Oryctolagus cuniculus: one gene and its partners. Each later gene encodes a partner of the first gene's protein in a complex. Links are inferred from orthologs where the notes say so. Each region holds a gene or a part of one and is shown on either strand. Other genes may lie near its edges. The genes, in order: METTL3, CBLL1, ZC3H13, VIRMA and RBM15B.

Region 1 (6,086 bases):
TGTCAGTTATTTCAAAAACAGGATTGGAAGTCTGATTACAGGCATATCATTTATATGTATGTTTTTGAAAAACCTTGTTTTCTGAAAAAGCATGCGTTAAAAATAGCAGCGGGGCAGGCCTTTGGCTCAGTGGTTAAGACACTGCTTGGGCTGCCTGTGCCCCTTACCGGAGTGCCTGATTCGGAATCCTGGCTGGAGTCCCAGCTTCACTCCCATTCCAGCTTCCTACTTATATACACCTTGGGAAGCAGCAGGTGCTAGCTCAGGTGGATGTGTCCCTGTCATCCATGTGGGAGACCCAGATTGAGTTTCTGGCTCCTGGCTTCTGCCTGGTCCAGCCTGGGCTGCTGTAAATATTTTACTCTAGTTATACCACAGGAGTATTCTGGTTCAAATTTATTACACTTGTGGGATTTCTGAATCGTAAGAGATTGTAATAGTCACAGTCTAGCTTGATGTGGGAATTTTGTTTATGGTCTTCCAAGTACGATAAATAGTAATTGTCCCTTATATTTCTTACATATTTTTAGCTGAGGGAGTTACTCTAAAACTCCTCATCCAGACCCCCTTAGTGATTCCATGACCTGTGCATACATCATCTTTTATTTTTTTAAATAAAAAAATTTTTTGAGAAGTAGAGACAGACAGCAAACAGCCACCTGCTGGGGTAATGGCTAGTGCAGGCCAGGCCTAAGACAGGAGCCCAGTCTAAGTCTCCCATATTTGTAGTAGGGAGTAGTATCTGAGCCATCATCTGCTGCCTCCCCGGGCACAGATTAGCAGGTAGCTTGAATTGGGAGCAGAGCCAGGACTTGAACTCAGGCACTCGGACATGGGTTGTGGATGTGCCAACTAGTGTCTTACTTCTCCAAATGCTTGCCCTACCACACCTCTTTGACTAAGCGAAACACACGACTGTTATCAGTTGAGCTGGTGAAAGAGTATCTCCTTAAGATTTAGCAGATCGGGGCTGGCACTGTGGTGGAGTGGGTAAAGCCGCCACCTGCAGTGCCGACATCCTGTATGGGCACTGGGAGTCCCAGCTGCTCCACTTCTGATCCAGCTCTCTGCTATGGCCTGGGAAAGCAGTAGAAGATGGCACCCGCATGGGAGATTCTGAAGCAGCTCCTGGCTCCTGACTTTGGCTCGGCGCAGCTCCGGCTGTTGTGGCCATTTAGGGAGTCAACCTCTCTCTCTCTTTCTCTCTCTCTCTATCTCTCTCTCTCTGTAACTCTACCTTTCAAATTAAAAATTAGTTTAAAGAAGAAAGATTTAGCAGATCATAAAGGAATCATAAGTAAATGAAGTAAAGAAAGCTTTGTCAATTACTTAACATTTCCAGCTAGTCTGGAATTGTGGAGTTTGTTTTCTCAATAGGGTACAGTGAGTATTTTTTGTATAAGTATTAAAATTTTATAGTAAAATGTTTGGTGTAGTTCAGCTCCATTTTCTTGGAAAACTGAGTCAGATTTTACAAATTCAGCCAGTAAACTGGAAATTACTAAGGAACCACAATATTTGTAAATGTAAAACAAATGGCCAACTTGTATGTTATATTTTTATTTAACAATTCCTGGCCAGGTACTAGGAGTTTAATTTATTATCTGTATAATAGCTAAATAAACACAGATACTAGGCTTGCTCAAAGGTAACCTTTTATTCTGAGTTTCTTAAATCTTATTAAAGTTGTGAAGGCTCCCAGCTTGTAAAGTGATAGAATAGATGAGAGACCTGTAGAAGGAAACATCCTCTGGTGACCAAAGCTTCAACAAGCTGTTACAAGATGTTTTGTGCTTAGGAGTATCAAAGGGCACGTATTTCTACCCCTGACACTGTCATTTTGTGTGCTGTCTGTTGGCCAGTGGCCTTGTGGCCTTGATAATTCAAACTCCATGCCTGAAAAAGATACTTATTACAGCTTAGGTTGTTGAAAAATACTTCTGGCTTTTATTAAAATGTAGGTTGGTAATGTCACTTCTAAGAGTGAGTGAAAGGAGGTGGTAGGGACATTGACATCTGCTATGTGGATTTATTTCCTCTGAAACACAGCAAAGACTAGGAATTGGGAAACAGCAGAGAGGGTATGTTGTTCCCAGAAAACCATGTTCCCTCCTGGTAAAGCAGTGAACACTGAGTACAACTAAAGAAAGACAGTCCAGTGTTCAAGTTGGTCATGGACTTTCCTTCATGACAAGAAAGGGGTGTGTGCTGGGAACGCCAGAGAATTTGGCTTCTGAGGAATATGTAGACCAACAGTGATTGCTCTTTTTCACTTTCGTTTCTCTTTACTCTTAGATCTAAGGAATCCAGAGGCAGCACTGTCCCCAACCTTCCGTAGTGACAGCCCTGTGCCTGCTGCACCCACCTCTGGTGGCTCCAAGTCTAGCACAACTTCAGCAATTCCTGAATTAGCTACAGATCCTGAATTAGAGAAGAAGCTGCTGCATCATCTCTCTGATCTGACCTTAACACTGCCCACTGATGCTGTATCCATCCGTCTTGCCATCTCCACGGTAATGACTGGGTAGACTAGGGGTCTACCACTAATTTTCAGTTCATGGTCAGTTTCTTACTGAGTTACCCTCCCCTCTTATCTCTAGCCAGATGCCCCTGCCACTCAAGATGGAGTGGAAAGCCTCCTGCAGAAGTTTGCAGCCCAGGAGTTGATTGAGGTAAAGCGAGGTCTCCTACAAGATGATGCACATCCCACTCTTGTGACCTATGCTGACCATTCCAAGCTGTCTGCCATGATGGGAGCCGTGGCAGAAAAGAAAGGCCCTGGGGAGGGAGCAGGGACTATTGCAGGGCAGAAGCGGCGTGCAGAACAGGACTCAACAACAGCAGCTGCCTTTGCTAGCTCTTTAGCCTCTGGACTGGCCTCTTCGGCATCGGAAGCAGCCAAGGAGCCAGCCAAGAAATCAAGGAAACATGCTGCCTCAGATGTTGATCTGGAGATAGAGAGCCTTCTGAACCAGCAGTCCACTAAGGAACAACAGAGCAAGAAGGTAGGGCTCACATGGAAATACCCTCACAGTATGCTTTGAATTATACCTGTGATTGAGAAGGATTTACTGTTAATGCAAGATTTTTAAAATTCAGGGTTTAGAGCAGGAGTTCCTAAGTGGAAATATTTTTGCACTACTACTGTACCCCACCAAGGACTCTGGCAATGTTTAGCGGCTTTTTTTGTTTGTTTGTTTTGTTGTTAAGATTGATTTATTTATGTGAAAGGCAGAGTCACAGATCTTCCATCTGCTGGCTCACTCCCCAAATGGCTGCAACAGCTGGAGCAGGAGTGGTCTGATGCTAGGAGCCTGGAGCTTCCTCCAGGTCTCCCACACAGGTACAGGGGCCCAAACACTTGGGCCATCCTTCACTGCCTTCCCAGGCACAGTAGCAGAGAACTGGATTGGAAGTGGAGCAGCTGAGATTTGAACCTCCCGGTTCCCATATGGGATGCTGGTATCTTAGGTGGTAGCTTAACCCGCTACACCACAATGCCATCTCTCAAGACTTTTTTTGTCCGAACATGAGGGAGTGCTACTTGTATTTAGTGGTTAGAATACAGGGATGCTGTTGATGTCCTAGTATATTGTATAATACAGCAACGCTCCCTGTCCTTGAGCTGTCTGGCCCAAAACTTAAGAGAATCTTTCCTTGAATTTGTTTGGAATAATCCTCAGATCAAGAGGATACAAATGCAGAAATACAGAAAGATCAATTGAGAGGAATACTGAAGACAAGTCATATGGATTGGTAGTCCTGGAAGTTGATGACTGAACAATGTGAATTAGCCTTGTAATGGTTCTGAGTGTAACTGTTGGACCACATGAATTCTCAGCCTTTTGCCACTTTTAATTCTGAGTTCAAACAGGTTAATAATGGGAGGATAACCAGAGTGCCCTCCTTACAGAATTAAGCTGAATAGTAGTGTTAGTAGTGTGCCTTTGTTCATTACACAGTAAGCATAAGTGGTTTTTGTGGGAAGGAATGCTTTCCTGGGGAGGGAAGATTAACTTACTGCTTAACAGTAAGTTAAATCATTTAGTATTTTAATTCCATCCCGAAAGGAGATTTTGATCTGGAAATAGAGAAATCTTTTATCTTAGGGCTGCAGTTTTCCCATATTGTTAGTTCATATGTCAAACAGAATTTATAGAGGTGGATTAAGAGATAACTTGATCTACAAACCCTTTTAAGCCCAAGGCTGCTTCTGTCACAGGTCAGTCAGGAGATCCTAGAGCTGTTAAATACTACAACAGCCAAGGAACAGTCCATTGTTGAAAAGTTTCGCTCACGAGGTCGGGCCCAAGTGCAAGAATTCTGTGACTATGGAACCAAGGAAGAGTGCATGAAAGCCAGTGATGCCGATCGACCCTGTCGCAAGCTGCACTTCAGGTCTCTTGGGAAGGAATGAAGTGGGATGGGTTTTCAAGAAGCAGTCGTTCCTTTGTCAGTGGGGCTCTTGTCTTTAACCCCATCATTCAACTCATGCTTTATCCAAGTCCTCCAGACTTTGAATGTGTACTTTTAGAGGTGGCTTTGTGTGTGAAGGCATACAGGCTGTACTCCCAAACAGGTGTGAGATTTTTCCAAGTGCCCCTTTGTAGCAACAAGGCATGTGTCTTTGAACCACAATGAAAGTTTAAGGTTCCCTGGAAGGAGGAGGATCTTAGGACACAGAGGCTGATTAGGTCAGTGTTTTATTCTACTCTAACCAATCAAGTCCTTCCTGCCCAGAATTCCTTTCTGTGGTGAGAAAAGATAGCCAAGTCTTTGCTTAGGGAGGAATTAGGATAATTTAGTGTTAATTATGGACACCATGCTTCCTGTCTCATAAAACTGCTGGAGGAAGTTCTAATGAGAGAAAAAATTAAGGAAGGGTAACAAAAGGGCTTTTTGAAACCATTTGGAACTTGAACTGTGGGACTTTCCTCCATGGCACCATCTTGATTCTGATTCTCCTTTTTTATTTCCCCAGACGAATTATCAATAAACACACTGATGAGTCTTTAGGTGACTGTTCTTTCCTGAACACGTGTTTCCACATGGATACCTGCAAATATGTTCACTATGAAATTGATGCTTGCATGGATTCTGAGGCTCCTGGCAGCAAAGACCATACACCAAGCCAGGAACTTGCTCTTACACAGAGTGTTGGAGGTGACTCTAGTGCAGATCGACTCTTCCCACCTCAGGTACCTGACTGTTCAGAAAACTCTTCTTACAGACTTATATAAGTCTGAGTAAGGCAGCCGTGCATGTAGGAAAACAGGCATAATTCAGCATTCTTTCTTGCTGATTGGGAATGGAGTGGGATAGGCTTAATAAGGGAATAGGAAAATGAAATGGAAAAGAGGGACTGGGGCCATGAATCTGAGAGTGAAGCAAGGGAAGATGACCAAATACCACCTCATGCAGTGGATCTGTTGTGATATCCGCTACCTGGACGTCAGTATCTTGGGCAAGTTTGCAGTTGTGATGGCTGACCCACCCTGGGATATTCACATGGAGCTGCCCTATGGGACCCTGACAGATGATGAGATGCGCAGGCTCAACATACCAGTACTGCAGGATGATGGCTTTCTCTTCCTCTGGGTCACAGGCAGGTAATGCGGTTCAAAGATACATAGGTATGGGCAGATATGCAAGAGCCTTCCAAAAGTTCATGGAAAAATGGAATTAAAAGATGCTTACTTTGGTGCAGAAAAAATGTGAAGGCCATGCATGCATGGTTCTTTCATAGTATACATTTCCATGAACTCTCTGAAGACCCTTTGTAATAAAGTAAGCACTGGGTGGGAGATAAAAGCCTGGGTTTTCCTAGCTCCTATTAAAGTATGACAGCTCAGCCTTTTTCCTCCCCTACTGAGCCCAGATACTTGTTTATAGCATGAACGATACTTTGAATTATATCTAACTCTTCATTTGCTCATTATGAAACAGTAAGGTCATTGAAGATACTATGTTTATCTTTTTATTCTTAGATATACTCTGTTGCCCTGATAGTGTTTTGCATGTCAGTGTTCACTGAAAAGATGTTTCTAACACAACAGATCTCTTGAAGGGAGAAAAAATTAGCATAC
Region 2 (6,155 bases), on another chromosome or scaffold:
TTTATTTTGGTTCCTTCAAGACATCCCCAGATAGCTATAACTCATTACTTTCTTGAGTCTATGTCATGAGGGTATTGTAACATATACTCAAGACAGAATCAGATTTGAATATACTAAGAGCTTATACTTAAATTTGCTTACTACATGCCTAGATAGATACTCCTAAAAATACACCAGAGGGGTAGATACTATTATCAGCCCTATTTTACAAAGAAGAAACAGCCTATGTCATATAGCTAATAGACAGCAGAAGACAGATTATAAAACCAAGCGTATTTGTTATAAATCAATACCATACTATCTCTAATGTCCCATCAAAAAAATTTAGAATAACAGCATGTGATTTATAATACTACTTGTAATTCTACAATGGCAAGTAGGCTTCATCATTTTAACCAATATGAATTGACAACAGTTACACCCAGGTCTATCTTAAGGAGGCTAATAACAACTCTGGGCTCATAGAGGAAGATTGGCCATGACTACACATTTGATTGCCTGCCTGTTTTAAAACATACTCTGATTTTCGACCCAGCTCATAATGATTATATTACAAACTAAACTGTTTTTAAAAAGATGGGGGCAGCCACTAAGTTGGCAGGTACTAATGCCATCTTACATATTAAAATGATATTCTGTAACTAATCATATAGATAGGATTGTCAAAGGGGTCACATAAATAAGACCAAATGTCTGCTAATAATAATAGATAGAATTAAAAAGAAGAGAATGATCCAATATTGGAATCAGGTCACACAGTGGACTCATAGAATGACAAATGCCCTAAATAACTCTCTCCTCAGAATCAGCCCTTAAGGCATTCAGATCTGGCTGAAAAGCTCCATGAGAACATTTCAGGCATAGAAAGCCAAGACACCGTGGCAAAAAATGATCTACACGAAGGATCTCTGTGAGATCCCAGTGGAAAGAAGGGGCCATCAAAGAAGGAGTACTTTTCTCTGAAAGGAGGAGAGAACTTCCATTTTGCTTATGGCCCTGTCTAAATACTGACAGAGTTTGTGGACTCAAAAGGCTTCCATAGCCTTGGCAGTTCATGACAAGAGCCTCAGGTGATTGCTGACATCATAAATAAGAGTGTCAATTGTTAAATCAACAACAGGAGTCACTGTGCACTTGCTCCCCATGTAGGAACTCTGTCCTTAATGAGCTGTACTATGAGAATGAATGGTAAAACTTGTCTTCAAACAGTACTTTATACTTTTGTGTGTCTGTGTGGGTGCAAACTGTTGAAATTTTTACTTAGAGTTGGTCTTCTGGATATAAAGATAATTAAAAATAAATCTTAATGGGGGCCAGCATTGTGGCACAGTACGTTAGTCCTCCACCTGCGGCGCCAGCATCCCTTATGGGCACCAGTTCTAGTCCTGGCTGCTCCTCTTCCAATCGAGCTCTCTGCTATAGCCTGGGAAAGCAGTGGAAGATGACCCAAATGCTTGGGACCCTGCACCCGCGTAGGAGACCCGAAAGAAGCTCCTGGCTTCGGATCGGCACAGCTCCGGCCGTTGTGGCCATTTGGGGAGTGAACCAACGGAAGGAAGACCTTTCTCTGTCTCTCCCTCTCACTGTCTGTAACTCTACCTCTCAAATGAATAAATAAAATCTTTAAAGTAAATAAATAAATCTTAATGAAGAATGGGATGGGAGAGGGAGTAGGAGGTGGAACGGTTTAGGGGTGGGAAGGCAGCTACAGGGGGAGGAACCACTATATTCCAAAATCTATACCTATTTAATTTATATTTATTAAATAAAAGCTCTCTTTAAAAAAAAAAAAAAAAAAAGATGGGAGTAGGTGTTTGGTCTAGCAAGTAAGATGCCAGTTAAGACAACTGCTTGCAATGCCTACATTCTGTACTGGAGTGCCTGGGTTTGAGTCCTGACTCTGCCCCCAGATACAGCTTCCTGCTAGTGTACACCCTGGAAGGCAGCAGGTGAAGTAGCTGCCCCTGTCATCTACACAGGAGACCTGGACTGAATTCCAAGCTATCAGCTTTGGCCTCAGCCTCAGTCACTGGAGGCATTCTGAAAGGGAACTAGTAGATGGGAGCTCTGTCTCAGAAAGACAGAAAGGAGAAAGAAACGTTTTTATAAAGAAATAATAAAAATTATCTTCTTACCCTGGACACATCTTATCTCCCTTTTTTTCATGTAAAATAGCACAGTCATAACAAAAAACATGCTTGCATGGAATCTGCAAACAAAGACATTATAATTAAGCATACTAGAACAACTTAGATTTTATTTCCACACAAAAGATCAATAAGCATAATCACCTACAGCTAGAAGGCACTGAGCTTTTAAAAAGAACATTTATTAAGTGCTACTTATTCAAAAGTAAAAATTAATCTTTGGCCTCCTTCCTAATAAATGAATACAATGTACACTTGTCTTTGGGAGCAACTTACCCTGTAAGTTTCACCATTGATCCCTATCCTATACGTTAAAAGCTCCTGACAACAACATTATAATCATGTTTAACCTTACCCTATTTCTCCTGAAACTATTCTAAAGAGGTAAAAATAACTAGTATCTCCTATATTTAACTAGCATTTCTTCCTGGCTTAGATTAGTGAACTCAAAAAAATCTAACAATCAGATCACAGTAAAATGATGCAAGAACCACACTGTAAAGCCAACAGCCCATTATTGTTACTTTGCTATGATACAGAGCAAAGCAATAGTGCATAATCCGTGCCCTCTATCATCACAGATATGAGTACAACAGAATCCAATCTTTTTTTCAAACACAAATGCAAAGCTATCTTTTTAGAGCGAGGACATGATAAAGTTACTATAAAATTACAGTTAGGGGTGTAAAAATATTTTTTAATAATCAGAATTCAATTTTTAGAAATTAAAAATATTATTTATGTATTTTATATAAAAAATAGTGAACTTCAGAAATGAATAACTAATGTTATTCTAGTCTGTTAAAAAAAATCAGAGGCCAGGGGCCAGTGCCGTAGCACGGTAGGTTAATCCTCCACGTGCAGCGCCAACATCCCACACGGGCGCCAGTTGGAGTTCTGGCTGCTCCTCTTCCAGTCCAGCTCTCTGCTGTGGCCTGGAAAGGCAGTGGAGGATGGCCCAAGTGCTTGGACCCCTGCACCCGCATGGGGAACCCAGAAGAAGCACCTGGCTCCTGGCTTCAGATTGGCACAGCTCCAGCCATTGCGGGAACCAACGGAAGGAAGACCTTTCTGTCTCCCTCTCACTGTCTGTAACCCTACCTCTCAAATAAATAAATAAAATTAAAAAAAAAAAATTGGAGGCCAGAGCTGTGACACAACAGGCTAAGCCTCCACCTGCAGTGCCAGCATCCCATACGGGCACCAGTTTGTGTCCTGGCTGCTCCTCTTCCAATCCAGCTCTCTGCTATGGCCTGGGAAAGCAGCAGCAGAAGGCCGAAGTGCTTGGGCCCCTGCACCCACGTGGGAGAACCAGAAGATGCTCCTGGCTCCTGGCTTCAGATTGTTCCAGCTCCAGCTGTTTTGGTCACTGGGGGAGTGAACCAGCAGATGAGGATTTTTCTGTCTCTCCCTCTCTTTCAAATTAATAAATAAAATCTTAAAAAAAATCTTTCCTTAAAAAAGTATAATAAATATAAACTGGTGTCACGCATACCAAGTACTTCTCTTAGCTAGTTCATATTTATTTAAATTAAAATGTCACAAACTCAGTCATTAGATAATGATTAACTGTATCTACTTAATACATTTCAGAATTCTACCTGGACACAAATGCACGCATTTACAAACAGTATTTAATTTAATTATGCTTACCATTCGTCCATAGATTTTAATAGGTAATCCACACTTGTCACAGAAGTGAACTGGTGTATCATCCTTTTCACCTAAGATGTTTATCTGTTGAAATGACATAATTAAATTCCCTTAATCCTAAAAACTGCATCTATAACACAATGCTAAACACTCTATCAATAGTAAATGGTTGGTACTTTATAAAAGTTGTTAAAAACAACTAGAAATAAAGGTTTCTTGGTATAATCCCCACATATTCACCAGCATTAGCTGTGCCACCGTTAGTTTACATTTTTAAATAGTTAAGAGTTATCAATCACATTTGACCTCACTGAAAATGATTTCAAATTATTTTTGGGAATAGTCAAAGTAGGGCACTCATTATAAACAAATGATGTTTGTGTTAAAAGTCATAACATTAACAAAAGCTTGTAAAAGATACCCCTTATATATTCTACACTGTTCTAATACCACATTTTAAGTACTTAATACCAATTTTATTGGTCTAATGAAAGTTTTCGTTTTTAATCGTACCTGAAAGTCCCAAAAAAGGTGTCCAGGAAACCTTCGCTGATTTCCAAACAGTTCACCCCCTTTACAGTCATACCGTTCCTCTTCATTATAATCAAATCCTTCTGAGAAAACAAAATGTTACTCATTAACTTCAAACCTCAAATTTCATTTGAGAAGTATACACACAGGACAAAGTAGGCCTATTCACTGGAAAGCCCACCTGATGACTTTCAAAGCTCCTCTAAGAACAAAATAATGAAGACTAGTTTAAAATATCAACTAGAAGTAAAACTGGTGATTACCTGACCAACTCTAATACTTCATAATTGAGACTATTACAGTATGGAGATCCACAATAATGTAACATATTAAGGTCAGCAGCAGGACCAGGAACAGATCTCAGATCTCTTGACACCTATTCAAGTGCTTCTATCAATTCAACAGACTATCTTTAGTCTAAAACCTCAAGATTACCATTATCATCATTTGTTGCACAAAATTTTAATGACATTGACCATCACTTATTCTAATCTATCTACAAATATGGTATGCTGCAAGAGACTGATTTTATTGTAAAAATAATGAAAACAAAGAATTCTGCGGATTTTCTTATTACTTAGTAAATTATACTTTCCCTTCACCTCTAATCTGAGCATGATTTTGGAACATCAACAAATTCATTCTTCACCCTTTCATTTTAAAACTTCTTCCTGGTTAATCCCCAATCAGCAGGAGCCATATGATATTTACAAGTATCCTGTCCTACACTGCATATATCAACATTAATAAACTTAAGACCAGTTGAAGATCAAGTTGGCTCAATTTCTCTGGTCTCATTAAAAAGTTGGTGGCAATTTTCTCATTTTACACAAAAGAACAGAAAACCGGTGAACAGTCTGATGAGAATTCTAGGTAGAATCCAATTACCTAAAGTAAAGCTGAGAAGACAAATATATCTCTCCAAGGTGCCAGGCTTGTCACGACTCTTTTGGCCCTAGAACTGGTAAACAGAGTAGCCAAAGCACACAGCTTCAACTTTACCCACATGGCTAACTTACAGTACCTGTGCAGGTAGATAGACACACACACACAGACAATAGTGATGCAAGAATTTTTTGAAGTTGATAAGAGATATTCCAATATACTGCTATTTAACTACTTCCAATATAGATGTACAGTTCAAAGTAAAGTTGATCTTATAAATTACACCTGAGTGTACCTACAGTCTTATATGGCCCATTCCTTATCAAAGGTGGTGTCATCCACAATTCAAAGTAAGAAAAATTGTCAATTCTTCAAATGCAGAAAATTATGGAGATCAACAGCCAAATAAATGAAGAGCACATTATAATTTTTCAGAGTAGTTCAACCTGTATTCTTCTCATTAAACTAAATATCCATAGAGATGTACTAACACCCAAAACTCCATATTTTGATCAATCCCTAGGGAAAAAAATAATTTTCTTTTACTCCAAACAGGTTAAGTCTAAAGTATTCAATGATTGTCTTCAGCCTCAAGTTGCTCTATTAAGAGAGAAAGGAGTAAGAGTAGTTCCCTCTAAAAAAAAGCCATGACCCTGAGAAGAGGAGGAAAACAACTTAGAGAAAAGAGGTAGCAGGGAGAATTTTTAGCTTTTCCTGCATTACAAGAATGTACTTGTACATCACTATAAGTTCATGAAAATACTTTGAAAGACCAGAAAACAGACTTTAATACTTTTAGAACTTTAATATACAATAATGGTGGGTTTTCTATGCAGCAAGGAAAAGATTATTCAATGATTGGGACAATGACAAGCTGTTTTGGAGGAAAAAACAGAAAGCCAGATCCCACTTTTGGCTTTTTTAAATAACCACATACGT
Region 3 (6,155 bases), on another chromosome or scaffold:
TGTTTTAGATTAACTGCACTTCCAGTTTGGGAGTCATACTAGAATCTCAATGGTTACAAAATAACGTGAAACACATTCAACACTGCAACTAACAGGAATACATTCTTCAAATTTCTGATTATTATAATAATATCAGGGAATAGTCTACTCTCCTGACTCTTTTAGCTCTATTTTCCTAAAAAGACAATGCTCCTTACTTCAAAGGAAAAAGGAAATAACAACACCACTTTAATATCTAAACTATCTCCCCTTTCCTTGCCTCAAAATATATTCTTCAAAGATGTGCTTTCTTCAGTTATTTCTTTATCTTATTGAATGACATATCTATTCATGAAAGCTGGCAATCTCTGAGTTATCTACTAAGTATCATCAATTTCACTCCCAAAATATTTATTTATTTATTTTCTTGTCCTCATCTCTTCAGTTAAAATATTAACTTAGATCTTGATCAGCTTTTAGATGCCTATGTCATCAACGGTTAAATTGCTGGGTATGTTTGTTTTCAGTCTTCCACTTGATTTTTAGTGTTTTTGATAAAAACTCCATTTCTTCCAGCTGCTTAAAGGCAGTTATCCTGTAGGCTCTGAAGGGATATTAAAATCAAAATTTCCAGTCTGATTTCCTAGGTCATTTACAATCTGGCCTTTGGTCTCTCATCAGTCCTGCCCCTCTTCTTTCCTTCCTTGCTAATTACATCATACTATTCCAATGTCATAACATAATTCATCACTCCTTCACTGTTTGGCTTTCTTTCAGCCCTGTGTGTTTGCACATGCGCACACTCTCCTTGAAAAGTGCTTCTTCATTGTTCCTATTCACAAACTTATGTATTTCCAGGCCCTCATTCAGATGTCACCTCTTTAGGCAGCTCTCTGGGAGTTCCTCAGAATTGTGTTTGCTCCTTTGTCTCCTCACAGTACTTTTATAGCAGCATTTATCATACTTCAGCTCTATCTGCACCACTATTAGACTATGGAAAACTAAAAGAAAGATTTAAACCCTCAAGCATAGAATAAGGTGCCCAGACACATCTCTACTCTCAACCTCTATCATTCTCCCTACTGTTTACCATCCCCTAGCCACATCAATCTTCTCTCAAATCCTAGACTTACTAGGCTTCTTTCTATCTCAAATAATTTGTACATAACCTTTCCTCTGCACAGAATGCTTTTACTCTCAATCTCTGTAAAGCTACCTTCTTCTCTTGCATTTACACCTCTGTGTAAATATCTCTTCAAATTTTCCATTCAAACGCTCAAGTAGATGCCTCTCTTATTCTTTATTCTATCTAGGTCCTTTGTTTTCTTGATAACAATAATCATTTCTCTTTTTATGGGGGGAAGTAGGAGGTGTTTCCTTTTCCATCAGTTTCTTTATAGAAACCCATGGACAAGAACTGTTGTACTCCAAGTACCTAGCAAAGTGCCTAGCATGGGTAGAATATATCACTAGCCTCAAAAATATATTGCTATATTTTGATCATTCAACTGATATTTACTGAAGTAGTTAAAGAGAACTAGATCCGTTGTCAGAAGACCTGAGTTTGAATCCAGTTCTGGAACTAACTTCAATTAAATCTAATTGTCTAAGCTGTGAAACATGGATTACTTTATAATACCTATACTTATTGGGATATTGTAAAAGTTAAGTCACAGAATATATGTAAAACAACTACTGAACTTCTCGGCACCTAGGTTGAATTAAATAGAGGAATAAAACCAAATGTTACTACCGAATTGAGGCATGAATTCAGAGAAACCTGTTCTAGGATAAGAAAATAGAAAAAAAGGAAGAAAAGTAATATACATACAACACACACACACACAAACACACACACACACATATATATACACATAAATAAAGCATTACCAGGATGCAGTATTAAAGAGAGATAAATCAAATGCTGGAAGAAATAATTTCAGATATTAACACTGAATAAACTTTACCCCTACTTATAACTGGGGAAGTCCTCACCTTTTTAAACCCAAATGCAGTTGGCTTACCTTAATGAACTTAACCCAACCGACTGTCCTATCTCTGATCTTCTCTATTCTCTCAAGTATATATGGTGTCTTAGAAACTTGGTTTTACTCCTATTACTACCCACATCAAGATATAGTTTTATCTTTTTGATTCAGCCCACACTAAAAGCATCAACATTCAATTTCCTGCTCCATCAAGTTTCATACTATTCAAAGTTCAGTATTATAGTGAATCTTACTTCAGAAATCAGCCAAGGTTAGAAAGACTTTGATAAGACTGATTTTAAATGTTTAAATACAGACAATACAAACTTTTCAAAGAAAATTCTTAGAATAAAGTGTTTCCTAGCAATCTTACTTCAAAAGTTACTTTTATAAGATTATCTAATAGATAAACAGAAAACTTTTAGCTTAACACATACAAGAATACAAAATTATATATTCTCAGGCCAGAATATGAGTAAAATGTTTCTCGAACAATCCCTAGCCTTGCTCTTCTCTGGTAGCCCATAAAATACTCTATTGTTCATGGCTAAAAAGAGAGTAGCCAGGATAATACTCATGAGAAGGCTTCCATTATTTCCTGAATTGCCTGGGATGGCATCTTGAAAGGGTTGTGAGCTACCCAGTTAGGATGGCAGACACACAGCAGGACAGCACAGTTCTTGTACTCTGCTGCTGGTAGTTACAGGTAGCTAGCTACTTACATAAACCTTCCTAAACTAATGAACAAAGAGTATAAGAGTTTCAATCAAACATTGTCATCAAGCTTAGTCTTAAAATATACTTTATATTAAAAAGCAAATTGGTAACTTTTAAAAAGCAATCCTCAATTTAATGTTGGTACTATTTAATAAAATTTTGTTTGACAAACCTCTTTCTCGGTTGTCACGCCGGTCTCTCTCTCCATGTCTTCTCTCAAAAGAAGAATCCCTTGCTTGATCTCTGTTGTCTCTTTCAGGGTATCTGTCTCTTTCAGGATAGCTACTTCGAGTTTCCCAGTTGTCATGATAGTTGCTATTACTACTGTGACTATCAATTTGAGAACCTCTTGTGCCTCGGCTTCCTAAACAAAGGATATTCATACAGTTGTTTAACACAGAACACTTTATTCAACAAGTTTCATCAGTCACAATCTTTCCTCCTAGAAAACACTAATTTGCTTTGGTATTCCAAGTGCGGTAATCACTGTTGAAAAGAATATTAAGCACCGCTGAGAACACACAGCTCTGCTATGACTGACTTGAGGAAGCTAAGTTCCAGTTTTCTCCATCTATAAAAAAAGTAATAATGGAATCGGAAAGCAAGAAGACTCATTTAAAATACCCCCAGAACAACAAAACAAAAATTTAAAAATGCTTCTTCATATCTCATCCACAGAAACCACATGAAAATAATGAGAAATATGGATATGTAGTATTGACTCAATCACAGTTTATACTGAAAGCACTCGAATATAGAATGACGAAAGTAATTTGGCAACATTAAATGTATCTAAACATTTTTATTAAAAGATGTGGGAAATTGGGGCCAGTGTGGTGGCATAGTGGGTAAAGTCACTGCCTGCAACGCCAGCGTCCCATGTGGGTGCCAGTTTGTGTCCTGGCCGCTTCACTTGCAATCCAGTTCTCTGTTGATGGCTTGTGGGGCAGAGGAGGATGGCACAGGTGTTTGGGCCTGTCACTCATGTGGGAGACCTGGATGAAGTTCCTGGCAATGACCTGGTCCAGCCCTGTCCACTCTGGCCATGTGGGGAGTGAATGAGCAGTTGGAAGGTATCTCTGTAACTCTTTCAAATAAATAAATAAATCTTAAAGAAAGAAAAAAAAAGATGTGAGAAATGAATGTTCATGGTAGCTTTATTTCTGCTAGCCAAAAACTGCAAAGTATTCAATTATCTTTCAATGGGTGAATGAATAAACAAATCATGATACATTTATATAACGGAGTCCTATGCAGCAGTAACAAGGAAGACTCTACTGATACATGCAACAACTTGGATGAACTTCAAGAAAATTATGCTGAATGAAAAAGCCCATCTCAGCAGTATACTTGCTGTATGATTCCACTTAGGAAACAGTCCTGAAATAACATAATCTTAAGATGCAGGACATATTAGAGATTGCCAGGGGTCTGTGATAGAAGAGGGGATGGATGTAGTAACACCAGCAAATCTTATGATGTTACAATTAAATATCTGATTGTAGGGCTAATACCAGGCTACATATGTGATAAAACTGCCTAGAGCTAAATACACATGCACACACAAAAAATATATATAACTGTAAAACCTGAATGAGATCTATAGAGTACAGCAGTGTTAATTTCTTGGTTTTGATGGCATACTCTAGATGTGTAAGATGTTATCACTGGGAAAGCAGAGAACAGTACACTGAGCTTCCTTGTACATTTCATTCCAATCTCCTATGAATCCTTAATTACTTGGAAAAAAAACTGTTCTCTTAAATTTCTGGAGTATGGGAGGTAAGGGTAAGGGGAAAGAAGCAAAACAGGGGCTGTCATAACCTAGGAAAGCCAGCAAAAATAAAGGCAAGAACTCTGGTGAACTCTGTCCTCAACCCCTTAAAGTTACTATAGATAAATCCTTATGAAGATGAATTCACTCCAAACTCAAAAAGAATACATGAGAAACCTACCCACCTACAGTAAGAATAGGAAGGTACATCTCCAAGGGTAAAAATAAAACCAAAAAACACCCCACCAAGAACTTATGTGTAATGGGCTTTGAGCCCTAAAATAATTATAGCATAATTCTAAGTACTGTAACGGGACACTTTAATAATGTAAATATCTCTAAAGAATATTGTAATAAAGATCAAGAAGAAGAAATTTAAGATTTCAAAAGATGACAAGAGATATGTTAGGAAAAGAGGCGCAATTGATGCTTCTTCACACCAAGGGCACTGCAAAGGTTAGGATAAGAGGTGCAGAATAGAGAGGAGGCAGTATACGAATCTACAGCCAAACCAAATTTATTCAGAGAAAATAAATTCATAGAGGTGGGTGACCAACTGCCAGTGTACACACTGACGGAACACGTGTCAGAAGGCCCGACCCAGGGGCTGGGCCTTCTTATATTTTAGGGGGTTAGGAATGGGGGTGAAGGTAGCAGGCAGCAGCAGGAGAACTCCTGGAACTGGTCTTTCAGGTGGCAGAGCAACTTGGCCTTTCAGGTGGCCATGCAGAGCTTGGGAACCTGGGAAAGAACATGGGGTGTGAGACCCGCCTGAGACTCAAGGGCAAGGAATACATTTCAATGTTTATCTTTTGGGCAATGAGCAAGAATAGCTGAGGCTTATGTCTTTGTTTCATCAAGGTATATACAGTTAACATGTAAGAACGAAAAGGTCAGGAGCCAGTGCTGTGGCATAGCAGCTAAGATTCATTCACTTAGATTAAAGGAGTGATGCATGGCTTAGGTTGATCCCACAGACCCCAGACCACAGGATTCAGAATTCAATGGTCACCTGTATAGTTGACATACTATTGCTAAGCTCCCTTTTGAGATACTTCACAGGAACCCCAGGCCCTGATCAAACAAATAGCCATCCTCCTGTGGACCACAGACAGACTGGAGTTCATATTGCCATCACAACATTCTCAGAAGAAAATGCGAGGCTGGCGCTGTGGCGTAGTAGGTAAAGCCACTGCCTGCAGTGCCAGCAGCCCGTATAGGTGCCAGTTTGAGTCCTGGCTGCTTCTCTTCAGATTCTGCTCTCTGTTATTGGAGAGCAGTAGAAGATGGCCTGAGTCCTTGGGCCCCTGCACCTGCCTGGGAGACATGCAAGAAGCTCCTGGCTCCGGGCTTCAGATCGGCCTAGCTCTGGCTTTTGCAGCCATTGGGGAATGGACCAGCGGATAGAAGATCTCTTTTTCTGCCTCTCTGTAACTCTGCCTCTCAAATAAATAAATAAATATTTTTAAAAAATGAAAAGGTTAAACATCAGATTAGATGCAGCTAAAGGAAAAGTAAGATTCAAGTCTGAAGATCTGACTCAGAAAGAAAATATAAATATAAAAACTGTATAAAGGCAAGTTAAGAATCAAGAGAGATGCAATGAGGAGATTCAGGCTATGTCTAGTAACTACATGCTGTTCACAGGTACATTTAAAATAAAAGGATACATAAAGGAAAGGATGGAAAAAGATGTA
Region 4 (6,155 bases), on another chromosome or scaffold:
CGAAGTCTGTACTTCCTTCTAATATAAAGGGGAAGAGGGTTTTATCTCCTTTCATACAGCCACGGTTCCCAAACTGTGTACCAGGGTACCATAGTAAATTAACATGGTTGCCAGACAGTAGTTGACATTTTTGAGGGAAACAGCCACACCCACTGGACACCACACAAACTACTAGTTTGAGGTAGTTTACATTTTCAACATCAGATAGCACTATATTGCTTTACATCAAAGTTTATCTTTGTAAAACTGAGTTTTTCACAGTTTGATAAAAAGTACTTTGCAAGAAGCATAGTGCAGTAGGAAATTAATGATATTGATTCCAAGATCTGAGACATTATGCAGTGTCCACATTTACTATGATGATGATGTAAATTCTTAAGTTGCTTGGACCTAGCTACTTGACAAACAGAAGTATTAGGTATTTCTTTTGGCCTAGATGTGCTGTGAAAAAAATTACTGAGTCACTAAAGCGTGCCAGAGCAGAGTAAATTTGGGAACATCTGTTGTATAGGCAAGAAAAATACAAAACAAGTCATTTAGTTATTCTCTTTCTACCTAGAAATTTTCTAAATAAATAGTTGTATAAAAAGGGGAAAAATATATACAAACATACATACAAAGTTTGGATTTTTATTGAAATCATGTTAGGTATCAAACAAAACCTGCTTTCTTCAGATAAAAATATTCTCTCAGATGTTTCCAGATAACTGTTAAGTCTAAGTTGGTCCTTCAATGTCTTATTTTTAGCGTCCTCGTGAAATGTTCATATGTATTTCGGAAACTCCCAAAAGTACTTTTATCGTGTAAAGGACCGTACGTGACGACCTCTACCACTGCCTCCACTAACAAACTTTCCTCTGGAGCCTCCACTGCCGCTATTTGCACTAGCCCAGGAAGGTCCGAGTCCCCCACGACCTCTGGAAGCACGGTCCCGAGGACTTGGGCGGTAACCTATAAAAGAAACAATACAGATTTTAGTTCCATGTCCTTTGCATTCTCACTTTATAAATACCTACTAATGTATGGCACTGAGTTCAAACCAAGAATGACTGTTTGTTCTTTTATTTATTTATTTTTAAAGAGTTTAATTATTTGAGTGGCAGAGTCACAAAGTAAAATAGAAAGAGAGAGAAGGAGACACAGAGAGAAAGGTCCTCCATCCGCTGGTTCACTCCTCAAATGGCCACAATGGCCAGAACTGGGGTGATCTAAAGCCAGGAGCCAGGAGCCTCTTCCAGGTCTATCATGTAGATGGAGGAGTCCAAGCACTTGGTCATCCTCCATTGCTTTCCCAGGCCATAAGCAGAGAGCTGGATCAGAAGAGGAGCAGCCGGGACATGAATCGGCACCCATATGGGATGCCAGCACCACAGGTGAAAGCTTAGCCTATTATGCCACAGTGCTGGCCCATGTTTGTTCTTTTAATACTCATGTGCAGGAGCTGGTGCTGTGGTACAGCAGGTAACACCGCTGCCCTCAACACCATCCTTCCATGTGGACACTGGTTTGTGTCTCGGCTGCTCCACTTCCAATCCAGCTCCCTGCTAATAACCTAGGAAAATAGTGTAAGATGGCTTAGGAGCCTGGGCCCTTACTGCTCATGGAGACCCAGAAAAAGCTCCTGGCTCCAGGTTTTGCATGGTTCAACCCTAGCTATTGTGGCCATTTAGGGAGTAACCAGCGGGTAGAAGATATCCATCTCTCCCTCTCTCTCTGTAACTCTTTCAAATAAACAATCCTTAAATATGTACATGGGACATTCATTCAAAGATATAAAATTAACCTTAGAATTTTAAGTCTAGGGGGCTGGCGCCGTGGCTCACTTGGTTAATTCTCTGCCTGCCCATATGGGCACTGGGTTCTAGTCCCAGTTGCTCCTCTTCCAGTCCAGCTCTCTGCTGTGGCCTGGGAAGGCAGTGGAGGATGGCCCAAGTGCTTGGGCCCCTGCATCCACATGGGAGACCAGGAGGAAGCACCAGGCTCCTGGCTTCGGATCAGCCTAGCTCTGGCCATAGCAACCATTTGGGGGGTGAACCAAAGGAAGGAAGACCTTTCTCTCTGTCTCTCTTTCACTAACTCTGTCAAATAAATTAAAAATAATAATAATAATAACTTTAAGTCTATATTCTAAAGAAGGCGAGCAGAATGTCTGGATAAGGCCTGTGAAATCATGAGGTCTGGCCCTGCTAAGGCCGTCACAGGTGGGCTCAAAATTCAATAAATCTACAGCAGGCTAATTTCTAAGTTGGTAATTCTGCATGGCCTACAAATGATATTATAAATATCCAAATGGCCCTTGGCAGAAAACAGGTTCCCCAACCCTGTTCCAAAGTATTCTCTCCTGGAAGAGCCTATAGCACTCAACATTTTGAAAAGGAGGAGGGGCCAGCGCTGTGGGGCAGTGGGTTAACGGCCTGGCCTGAAGCGCCGGCATCCCATATAGGCGCCGGTTTGAGACTTGGCTGCTCCACTTCTGATCTAGCTTTCTGTTATGGCCTGGGAAAGCAGTAGAAGATGGCCCGAGTCTTTGGGCTCCTGCACCCGCGTGGGACACCCGGAGGAAGCTCCTGGCTCCTGGCTTTGGATCGGCGCAACTCTGGCCGTTGCAGCCATCTGGGAAGTGAACCAGCGGATGGAAGACCTCTCTCTCTCTCTCCCTGCCTCTCCTCTCTCTGTGTAACTCTGACTTTCAAATGAATAAATAACTCTTAAAAAAAAAAAAAAAAAAAAAAGAAAAGAAAAGGAGGAACTCCCTTCGCTTCTCTGAGCAGTGTCAAGTAGAGAGGACACATACCTGTAGAACTAAGTGGTCGCAATGGCGGAAGCGGGCCCCTGTTAAAATTACTCTGGCCTCCTCGACTTTCATTGTAATTCCCTCGAGGAGTATTCTGAGCACTCCAACTGGAGCCTCTGGTGCCCTCCCGACGACTGTAGTTTCCTAAACACAAACAACAAGATCAAAATCTAATATTGCCAGAATTTTGTGTTAAGGAAGATTTGGCAGGTTTTTCTTAATCTTAAAAAAGTAACGGAAGAAAAACGAAAATCTTGTAAACTGAATATACTACTAAGAAGCAAAAATCACACAGCGGTTAACAGCAGAGGCTCTAAAGCAGACTGCCAGGTTCAAATATCGGTCCTGTCACTTCCAGTTTTGTGTCCTGGTCAGCTGAATCACAGTTTATCTTCAGTAAAGAAGGAGTACTAATGCGACCTACCTTGTGGGGTTAATGTGAGCGTACCATATCTGCATTACTTGTAACACTTCCCGACACACCTATGTAAGCGTTTGTTATTAATGCCAAATTCATATTCTCTTTCACTGTCACCTTTCGAGCTCATCAATCCACTAGTAAAAGCATAGTTTCTTTAACTATATCAAATAGTCTCAAAATCTTCAAACAACTTAAAACAGACTGAATATAACAGTAAGAAGCAAGGTGATAAAGGAATCAATTATGAACTACACAAATAATCTTAAGGAAATTGTTGAGAAGTACAAATGTGAAAATGGTATTTACATAAAAAATAATAAAATTCTCAATGTTAAAAGGAAAATAATTACCTGTGACATCTTTTAAATTCCCAGTAAAAGTATACCTTATCAGAAGTTAACCCAAAAAGTATGTGTGGTTTTTTTTTTCCTACCCACCAGAGTACTCTGCAAATAGTGCAAATACTTTATCTCAATCTCCTCAGTCACTTCACTCAATATTTTAATATGCTAGCCTATTAGAAATGCAGTTACCTTTTGAAGCAGGTGGTGTGAAAAATCGATTCTGACTGTGAAAAGCACCACGTCCTCCTCGATTGCCTGAAAACCCACCACGAGAAGAAATCTTCTGGGAAACTTTAAGTGGCCGTTTGGGTGGGGGTATTCCATCTTGAGGGACCACTTCTTTACTTTCAGCTGCGACAAAGTCATCCACGTGCATAGATGGTGGTCTGCTTGTGTTCTGTTTCCTCTGACGAAAAATATCATGGGGTCGTATACCCTGTCCAAATCCTCCCCTGCCCCTTCCTCTTGGTGGTGGCACAACATGAGCTCGTTTGGCAGGTTCTATGTATTCAGATTTTCCACTATTAAAACAAAAATACTCCATTAGAAAATTTCCGTTTCTTCATATTTCCAGTGAAAATACAATAAATAGTGAATCTGGATTTCAATTTTTTCTTATTCTAATTCCATTAATTTTGCAAGTATATATATTACTTCCCAGCATACTTCCCAGCATAATACAACACACTAGCTAAGAATGGTACTCATATTTTATTGATATCACTAAAAGTTTTACAATAATCCAGTTTACTTCTTATTCATACCTTTTAAGTGCTCACAAAGAACAATATTACTAATGTACTGGCTAAGTCCTGGCCAAATTATTATCTTTAAAACTAATACAAACAATATTAATGATTCAAATGTTATGCAAATGATTCCATCTTAAATACAATGAAATAAAGCTTTATGTGATCATAATCAAGACCTTCAGTGGAATAAATTTTTACCTTGAAGTTATAAAGGTCTCATGCTTGTGCTTCCCAAGTTTGAATCCTTTAGTAGTCTTGGTTCTCCCTGGAGATGACGGTTCTGACAAAAATGAGCGCTCTAATTCTGAGTGCAAATCAAAGTCACTACAGCATTTTTCAGAGAGCTCGATTAAGTCAACCTTTACCTGTAGTCATAAAAATGAAACAAAAGACATCTTAAATTAACTACCAGTGTAACATCTGATCATGGAAATTCATATTCTTGGGGCTGGCACTGAAGCTTAGTGGGTAACGCCGCCATCTGTGATCTGTGATGCTGACATCCCACATGGGTGCCAGTTCGAGTCCTGATTGCTCCACTTCGAATCTAGTTCCCTGCTAATGCACCTGGGAAAGCAGTGGAAGATGGCCCAGCACTTGGCCCTTGCACCCATATGGGAGACCTGGATGGACCCCTGGCTCCTGGCTTTGGTTTGGACCAGCCCTGGCCATTGCAGCCATCTGCATCTGCCTTTCCTTCTCTGTAACTCTGCCTTTCCAATAAATAAATAAATCTTAAAAAAAAATTAAAATAAATGCACCTTAAATGTGAAACAAATCATTCTATCAGTTTTATTGTACATGATGAACACTAACTTTTTTTAATTTTTTTTTAAGATTTATTTATCTGAGAGGCAGAGTTACAGACATAGAGAGACAGAGAGAGGTTTTCCACTCACTGGCTCACTTTCCAAATGGCCACAGCGACCGGAGCTGCGCCGATCTGAAGCCAGGAGCCAGGAGCTCCCTCTGGGTCTCCCACACGGGTGCAGAAGCCCAAGCACTTAGGCTTTGTTCCACTGCTTTCCTAGGCCATAGCAGAGAGCCTGATCAGAAGTGGAACAGCCAGGACTCGAATTGCCTTGGTTGTTCCATTTCTAACCCAGCTCCCTGTTAAGGTACTTGGGAAGGGCAGTGAAGAATACCCCAAGTGTTAGGGCCCCTACTATCAATGTGGGAAGACTCAGATGGAGCGTCAGGCTCCTGGCTTCAGCCTGAACCAGCCCCAGCAATTGTAGACAACTGGGGGGTCAACCAGTGGATGGAAGATCTTTTTCTCTCTGTAACTCTACCTTTAATAAAAATAAATAAATCTTTAAATATAAAATAAAATAAACACATACAAAATCACTAACTAAACAGAAGTATAACAAGTATAAAAAAGTGTTAGTTTTGGATGCTATTAAGTGGGAAACTGGCCTAAAAATAATGTAGTACTACTGGTCCCCAAGTGGACTTCAAATACTTACATATAGTACATAAACAATTATAATGCTAACAATATACAAACAAAAATATTAACAACTTTTTTAACTATTTAGTAATAAAATAATTTATACCAAGTCTAGATCTGTATCAATCTCTTCAGCCTGAAATGGAGTGAACCACATTGATTTCAACTGATCATCCATGACATCAGCTAGCACATATGCAGTCCTAGAACACAAAAAGCATTTGTAAAAAGCAAAATACCAAAATCAAACACTTTGGCTTACCTTCTAAGGAAAATCTATGGATGGTACAATTAAAAATATTATCCGCAGAAGTTTTACCAAAATTACCACTTGAAAAGACTTCTTCAAAAAGCCATTCAAGCGGGAGGGAGGGAGGCTGGGGGGGAGCCA
Region 5 (6,694 bases), on another chromosome or scaffold:
AGCTTTGGCAAGGTGCAGGCGTGTCCTCTTGTGCCCAACTGACTTGCTTGGATACCCAGTATCTCTGGCCACAGCTCAAATACAAATAAACCTGAGTAACACCTTCTTCGCTAGTGTTTTGTTAGGAACGTCTGTTCTCTCGGGGACCCCAGCGGAAGCTCGGTGCTGCTCCCCCAGCAGCCACGCAGAGCCCCTGCCTCACAGCCTCTGAAATCCCAGCTGTCACCTATGCTGCCTCATGGTGGCTGGGGTGGTGGCCTAGACTCACTCACAGGGAGGACCCTGGAGTTCCTGGCTGATCTGTGGACTCATTAGTCTTTCCACGGCTTCCACTGAGCCCTGACAACCATCCCTGTTAGGGTAGCCAAGCTGCCACCCAAACACTGAAGGAGGCATGTGGTGACCATCACTGTGTGCTCTGGTTTTCCTCCCTGGTCCCTGACACCGCTGGCCTCTGGTTTTTCAGCCATGGCCACGCTACCTTATTAGAGACGGACAAGGCAGAATTTTGAGACCTGTAAGCCGCCTTTCTTCCTACCCGGAACCAGAAGATGCCTGCATGGCCATTTCCTCCCTTGCCTGGCTTAAATGGTTTCAAACTCGAGCACGGCCAACACCTCACCTGCTGTGACCTCATTTCCCCCCCGAGAAGTACCTTTTTCTCAGTGGTCCCCACCTTCTCAGCACCGGGGCAAGAGGTCCAGGCACAGCTCCTCCACTGCACCTGGGAAAAAGGAAACCACTTCAGATACCAAGGGCATCTCCCTAGCCCACTGCACTCTCCCGCAGCTTCAGGCCAGGGCACCGGTGTCCCCCCACAAGCTCTAGGTGAACAGCACAGGCCCACTCTGTTAACACATCAGCCCTGACAACCAAAGGAAGAGCCAAAACTAAGAACCGTCCGTGAAGTCCAGGAATTAACCAAGGAAGTCCACCTCCTCCCCCCTCCCCCAATGGCTGGCTATCCCTGGGCTGAATCAGAGGGTGGCTGGACAGGTCAGTGGCACCAGGACCACTTGGCATGGTTACACTGCCCCTCCCCCAGCTACGAGACCCCCCCACATCTGAAGACTCCCACTGGCAAACTGGCATTAGCATTGGGCACGCTGTCCAGCAGCCCCAGTTGAAACTGATGGACACGCACAGCATTTAGGACAGGCAGGAAAACAAAAAGCCCAAAACTGCCAGTGGCTGTTGGCCAGGACTTAAGCTTGCCGCCTGCATGTGCATGGGCTCTACTCACGCCAGTGCAGCTGGGTCCAGAGCCCAGTCCTGACTCAGCCCCGCGCGCTGAGCTGAGGGCGGGGAGCCACTGCTGCAGCAGGACTTCTGGGTGCGGTGGTGCTCGCAAGATGGCACAGGGCATTTGTGTGCATGCACTGGGCAAGTCTTCCACTCTTTAAGAGAAAACTTGATTAAACCAGGACTCTCAACAGGGTTAAAAATGCATCCTCTGACAAAGGCTTTACTGACAACTTTCCACAGTCAAAAAAATAAAAAAAATACAGAACACAGCAGACAGCATCTCATACATCAGAAATGAACATAACCGTCCCTTCTCATCACTGTAAAAAAAACAAAAACCAAAAAATCCTCAGAAACCTAAGAACTTCGTTTTAGTGGTGGACAGGACTTGGATCCCGGCCAAATAAAATAACCCAGCAGGGAATTCAAACCCAGAGGGCAGGGCAGGGAGGGGATTTTAAAATAACCGCTTTTGTGACACAAACAGGGAGCTTCCTGGAAAAGCCAGGTTTGGGCTAAGCAGTGTCTCTGACTATAACTATCACCATGTGTTCTTCTTCGAGCTTGCCCAGTGTCCTTAGTGCTGACTGGAGGTACTGCTGGGAGAAGGCGCAGGGCGGGAAGGCGTAGAGCATGCCCGTGCTGTCTCTGCCTTTGGACCCGCCCACCGGCAGGCTGATGACCCCCGCAGCCTGCTTCTGTTTCAAGTAGGAGACCAGGTTCCTGAGAAGCCGCCTCTGCAGGCCTGGCTCCACGGTGGGCACCCCCTCGGTGCCAGGCCCAGTGGGGGCGGCCTGGGTGGCTAGGAGCACCGCATAGCCGTTGGGGCTCCCCTGTTTGATGCGCCGTGTGACCTCGTCGAGCTTGGGCTGGTCCAGTCGAAGGCGCTGGGCGATCTTCAGCTGGGTCAGCTTGCTCCCCGAAGTGTGGTCTTTGAGGAGGCCGCTGATGACGCCCTGGTCCCCCTCGAGCACGTGCATGGACGTCGGGAAGCAGCTGTTCTTCAGCACCAGCAGCCCATTCCAACCCAGCTGCAGCGTCTGCGCATACTCCGACAGACTCTTCAGCTTTTTGGGCTCCTGTTTCGGCTCTTCCGGGGGCTTGGGCTCCGCCTCCGAGGTCCGATGATTGCGCTCGCCGTCTCTCGTCTTCTTGCCGTGGGAGGGGTCCGGCGCCTCGTGGTGGTGGTGGTGGTGGTGGCCCCGCTCCTCCGCCCCGTGCCTGCTGTTGCTCAGGGAGTTGCCGCTCGCCTCCCTGCTCCCGTCGCTCGAGTGATTCTCCTTGCGGCTGCGCTCAGGGGTCCGGTCGGAGCCCCGCTCAGAGGGCTGCCCGCCACCCTTGGTCCTGCTCCGCTCCTCGTAAGGGGAGTGGGCTGTCCGGCCACGGTCACTGGAAAGGCTCCTCCGCTTCCGCCTTTCTTCCCAGGGCTTGGCCAGGCCGCGGTCCCCATCGGCCCCCCAGCGCTCACCACTCCGGCTGCGCACAGAGCGGCTGTAGCCCTCCAAGCTGTTCCTGCGGTCAGGGCCTTTCCCGGGGCTGGTCCAGTCCCCTTCCAGAAAGGCCCGGTCTCGGTCGGAGTAGAGGAGGTGCGGAGGGGTCCTATCCCGCACGCGCAGGTCGGCGTCCAGGTTTCGGTGCCGGGTGTACCCGTCCGTGAGCAGCTCGTAGTGCACAGGCAGCGGCGAGGGCTGGTACTGCTGGGGGTACCGAGTCTCCTCTGCTTTGGCGAAGTCCACGCGGAGCCTGCGGTCCGGCCCGCCCAGGGGAAAGCCCCTCATCTTAGCGCAGGCGGCCTGCGCCGCGTCCAGGCTCTCGTACTGGATGTACGCAAAGCTGTCTCCTTTGACGTGATCGATGGTCCGAATGCTCCCGAAGCGGTCAAACTCCCGGGCCAGAGCCGCCAGCGACGTGTTGGGTCCCAGGCCGCCCACCCAGAGGCGAGTGGTGGGGTTGGCCTTGCCATAGCCTATCTTGATGGGGTTGCGGCCGATCACCCGCCCGGACATGGCCACCTTGGCCCTGTGGGCCATGTCCAGGTTCTGGAACTTGAGGAAGGCGTAGGCGCCGCCTTGGCCGCGGGCGGGCCGCTTGATGACCACCTCCTCGATGATGCCGTACTTCTCGAAGGCGCGGCGCAGCTCCACCTCGGACACGCTGTGGTCCAGGTTCCCGATGAAGAGGTTGCGAGTGGCCCGCTGGTCGTCCTCCGGCATCAGGTCCTCCTCGCACACGGCCGGGTAGCCGTAGGGGCGCCCGCGGTCGTCGTACAGCCCGTAGTAGTCCAGCGCCCGCTCCCGGGACAGCCCCACGGCGGCGGCGGCGGCCGCAGCATCCAGCGCGAAGGCGGCGGCGGCGTGGCGCGCGCGGGGCTCCCGCAGGGGCGGGGCGGCCACCGGGGACAGCGAGCGCTGCTTGTACTGGTAGCCTCCGTGCAGCGGCAGGTAGCCGAGCGGGTCGGCGGGCGCGGGGGGCCCTGGCGGCGGCGTGGAGGCGGCGGCGCTGCTGCTGCTGCTCCGCCGGCTGCTCCCGCCGCCGCGAAGGTACACGGGCTCTACCTTGAGCGGGCGGTCGTAGAGCAGCAGCTGCCGGGCCAGGGCGTGCTGGCGGGCCTCGCGCGCGTCCTGCGGGTGCCGGAAGTTCACGTAGGCCACGCGCCCGAGCTCCGGCGTGTGCGACAGGCGCAGGCTGATCTCCCCGAAGCGCTTGAACTGGTGGAAGAGGCGGTCCTCGAGGTGCTCGGCGGGCAGCGCGGGGCTCAGGCTGCTGATGAGCAGCGTCTTGTACTCCGGCGCGCTCGCCAACGAGCCGGGGCCTGCGGGCTCAGCCCCGGGCGGCGGCGGCGGCGGCGGGGGCGGAGGCGGCGGCGGCAGCGGAGACGCGCGGGGCGACGCGCCGGAGGCGCCCGGGTCCCCCGAGGCCTTGCCGCCGCGTCCCCCGCCGCCGGCGCCGGAGACCGAGGAGCGGCCGCCGCTCGCGCGGTGGTTCGCGTCCCCCGCGCCGCGGCCGTCGCGATGCCCGCCCCCGCTGCCACTCCCGCGGGGCTTGTCGCGGGTCCGCGCCGGCACCGGGTGCTTGGCGCCGCCGGAGGCCTTGTGCGCCGCCCGCCGCCCGCCCGCCTCCGCTTCCCGTTCGCGCTCCCGCGGCCGCTTTGCCGACGACGAGGAGCCGCGTCCGCTAGGGCTGGAGTCTCGGTCGCTCTGCCGCTTCATGGCGCCGGCGCGGCGGGCGGGCGGGCGGGCGGGCCGCAGGCTCCTCACAGTGACGGCGGCGGCGGCGGCGGCCCAGGAGGCAGCGCCCCCGGCGCCGCCATCTTGGACAAAAGGAATCGGCGCGGCTGTGGCGGCGGGGCGGGGCGGCAGCGGCGCCGAGGGCCCGGGCGCCGCGTTATCAAGTGGCGCCGGCCGGCCCACGTGACTGAGGCGGGCGGGGCGAGCGCTGCGCCGGGGTGCGTCATCCGGATGCGCCGCCCCGTGCCACGTGACTCCGGGGCCGGCGGAGGTGCGCCCGGGCGCCACCACGCGGCCACGCCGGCTGAGGCTTTCGGGGCGTCGCGGGGAGCGATGGGAGCGCTCTCCAGAGCCGGGTCGGCTCGCGCCGCCTCAGACTGCAGCGCGCGGGGCTGGTCCTCGACCCCGTGAGCCCAGAGGAGCTTCGTGGCCAGGGCCCGGCAGTCTTCTGCCGGCGCCAGGGTCCGCGCTGCTTGGCACAGGAATGGTAGCTTTCGTCTACGCAGCATCAGTGCCGGCGTCTGGGGCCTTGGCCCCAGTGTTGTTTTCACCCGGTCCTCGGCTGCAGCGATCCCCATCCCCCTCTGCAGTCCCCTGGCTGGGGTCCAGCGTTGACAGCCATGCCAATCCTTGGGCCCTGTACACGTCCCACGCCCAGCTCCCGAGTGTCCTCCGTGTTCAGGTTCACCTGTAGCAGTCCCTGGGAAGACCACGAGGATCACGCACCAGGCACACGCACGCAGGTGAGACCTGGCGGGGTGCAGGCTCAGGAGCAGTTAGACCCGCAACGCAGAACTGCCACACTGGTGCGGGCATCCCGGCACACAGCAGGCTGGGAAGGCCGGGACGGTGCCAGCAGTTGCCACAGCTTGCCGTGCTCCCCTGTGCACCCCCAAGGATAGGACCTTTTCTCCCCAGGCGTTGCGAGGGCAAGGGCGCCCGTGTGCCAGGGCCCATCGGCCGCTTTCGTCCTCCAAGGTCGGCTGCCGGAGCCACTGCCGGACCTGACCCCACTTCGGGCACAGGGAGCACGGGATGGGCAGCGCATCCAGCCCGCTTCTCCTGCTGCAGCCTGGCAGGTCCAAAAGCAAAGATCTTGCTAAGAGGGAGCAGCGGGCTCCCCGGCAGGCTGGAAGATCCCTTACGGGCACACCAACGAGGAGCTGAGCTCAGCTACTCGGGCAGCACCGTGACTGCTTCCTTTCAGCTGGTCTCTGCAGGACAGCGGAGCAGCCAGAGCTCACGGACAACTGGCTTTCCCAAGCGACACCAGAGGGCTGTCAGACAAGCCCGCGGGCCCTCAACTGGATTCCTCTAAACAGGAGAGGCAGCCCTCTGACCGCCTCCTGGGGAAGCTGGCAGGAATCTCGATCAGAGGCGTGGGACTGACACCAGGCCGCACACCACGGCCAAGAACATCTTTTAGAGCTTTCAGTACTGAACGCAGTGAGGGCACCACTGTGGAAAACCACATTCCACAGAGCTTCCTTCTGCCGTGGCCAGTCCCATGGAAGACCCTCCCACGCACCCTCAACTCAGCGCTCCATGCCCAGCAGCCGGGAAGCCTCCTGTTTGGGGACAGTGCATCAGGGCGCAGGGTACCAAGCCCAACCTTCTCCCCAGACTCTGGTTTGAAGCCTTATACCACAGCTGGTTCTAACCCATGTCCTGCCCTGCTACTTCTGGCATAGGTGAGTTGAGGGACAAATGGCAAAATACAAAGCATAATGCATTAAGATCCTTCTCATGCGGCAAAACCCTGTTTCAGTATTCATGTTAATTGTCCAAAGACAGCTGGAACTGTTTTCTCCTTTAATAAAAAAATCCCAGACACATGTTGAAGTCCTAGAGTAAACCAGCAACAGAAGGGAGTAAATCCCCCCAGGGGCACTAGCAGAGCTGGCGTCACGGAAAGCTCCAGGCTTCGCACCTGATGTTGTCAGGAGCCCACTTAAAAAATAAATTACAAAAAGGCGATTTTGGGGAGACAGCTGAGCTGCTTCTCCCCTCTCCGCTGCGGAGGGGTCAGGCCGACTACAAGTCCGTCCGTGCGCTGGCCGCCTTGGGGGCGTATTTAGGCATGAGTTCATTGATCTTGCGGATGTAGTCGGACTTTTCTGCGCAGCCTTTGCACGTCTCCCCCCAGTCGTCCAGGATCTTCTTCAGCTCTTTCACTCGGAGCTTCTTGAGGTCCACTGTGCTCAGGTCGATCTGCTTGTCTG

The links.
Region 2: METTL3 (region 1) and CBLL1 share a complex: the UniProt entries of both Homo sapiens proteins name them as parts of the WMM complex. The link is inferred for Oryctolagus cuniculus from reciprocal best matches to the Homo sapiens genes METTL3 and CBLL1.
Region 3: METTL3 (region 1) and ZC3H13 share a complex: the UniProt entries of both Homo sapiens proteins name them as parts of the WMM complex. The link is inferred for Oryctolagus cuniculus from reciprocal best matches to the Homo sapiens genes METTL3 and ZC3H13.
Region 4: METTL3 (region 1) and VIRMA share a complex: the UniProt entries of both Homo sapiens proteins name them as parts of the WMM complex. The link is inferred for Oryctolagus cuniculus from reciprocal best matches to the Homo sapiens genes METTL3 and VIRMA.
Region 5: METTL3 (region 1) and RBM15B share a complex: the UniProt entries of both Homo sapiens proteins name them as parts of the WMM complex. The link is inferred for Oryctolagus cuniculus from reciprocal best matches to the Homo sapiens genes METTL3 and RBM15B.

Annotation. Positions count from the first base shown.
Region 1 is NC_091443.1:53,434,664-53,440,749, forward strand, and holds part of METTL3 (N6-adenosine-methyltransferase catalytic subunit), read left to right. Parts: intron 1-2,295; coding exon 2,296-2,513; intron 2,514-2,600; coding exon 2,601-3,005; intron 3,006-4,222; coding exon 4,223-4,398; intron 4,399-4,981; coding exon 4,982-5,198; intron 5,199-5,421; coding exon 5,422-5,609; intron 5,610-6,086. UniProt on the Homo sapiens protein: The METTL3-METTL14 heterodimer forms a N6-methyltransferase complex that methylates adenosine residues at the N(6) position of some RNAs and regulates various processes such as the circadian clock, differentiation of embryonic and hematopoietic stem cells, cortical neurogenesis, response to DNA damage, differentiation of T-cells and primary miRNA processing.
Region 2 is NC_091434.1:136,456,723-136,462,877, forward strand, and holds part of CBLL1 (E3 ubiquitin-protein ligase Hakai), read right to left. Parts: intron 4,415-6,155; coding exon 4,314-4,414; intron 3,885-4,313; coding exon 3,801-3,884; intron 2,210-3,800; coding exon 2,136-2,209; intron 1-2,135. UniProt on the Homo sapiens protein: E3 ubiquitin-protein ligase that mediates ubiquitination of several tyrosine-phosphorylated Src substrates, including CDH1, CTTN and DOK1. Targets CDH1 for endocytosis and degradation.
Region 3 is NC_091440.1:65,048,065-65,054,219, forward strand, and holds part of ZC3H13 (zinc finger CCCH domain-containing protein 13), read right to left. Parts: intron 3,049-6,155; coding exon 2,857-3,048; intron 1-2,856. UniProt on the Homo sapiens protein: Associated component of the WMM complex, a complex that mediates N6-methyladenosine (m6A) methylation of RNAs, a modification that plays a role in the efficiency of mRNA splicing and RNA processing.
Region 4 is NC_091437.1:119,891,026-119,897,180, forward strand, and holds the end of VIRMA (protein virilizer homolog), read right to left. Parts: intron 5,968-6,155; coding exon 5,871-5,967; intron 4,677-5,870; coding exon 4,510-4,676; intron 4,081-4,509; coding exon 3,749-4,080; intron 2,939-3,748; coding exon 2,795-2,938; intron 952-2,794; coding exon 797-951; 3' UTR 611-796; downstream 1-610. UniProt on the Homo sapiens protein: Associated component of the WMM complex, a complex that mediates N6-methyladenosine (m6A) methylation of RNAs, a modification that plays a role in the efficiency of mRNA splicing and RNA processing.
Region 5 is NC_091441.1:98,157,477-98,164,170, forward strand, and holds the start of RBM15B (putative RNA-binding protein 15B), read right to left. Parts: upstream 4,590-6,694; 5' UTR 4,455-4,589; coding exon 1,761-4,454; 3' UTR 1,244-1,760; intron 725-1,243; exon of another isoform or gene 719-724; 3' UTR 1-718. UniProt on the Homo sapiens protein: RNA-binding protein that acts as a key regulator of N6-methyladenosine (m6A) methylation of RNAs, thereby regulating different processes, such as alternative splicing of mRNAs and X chromosome inactivation mediated by Xist RNA.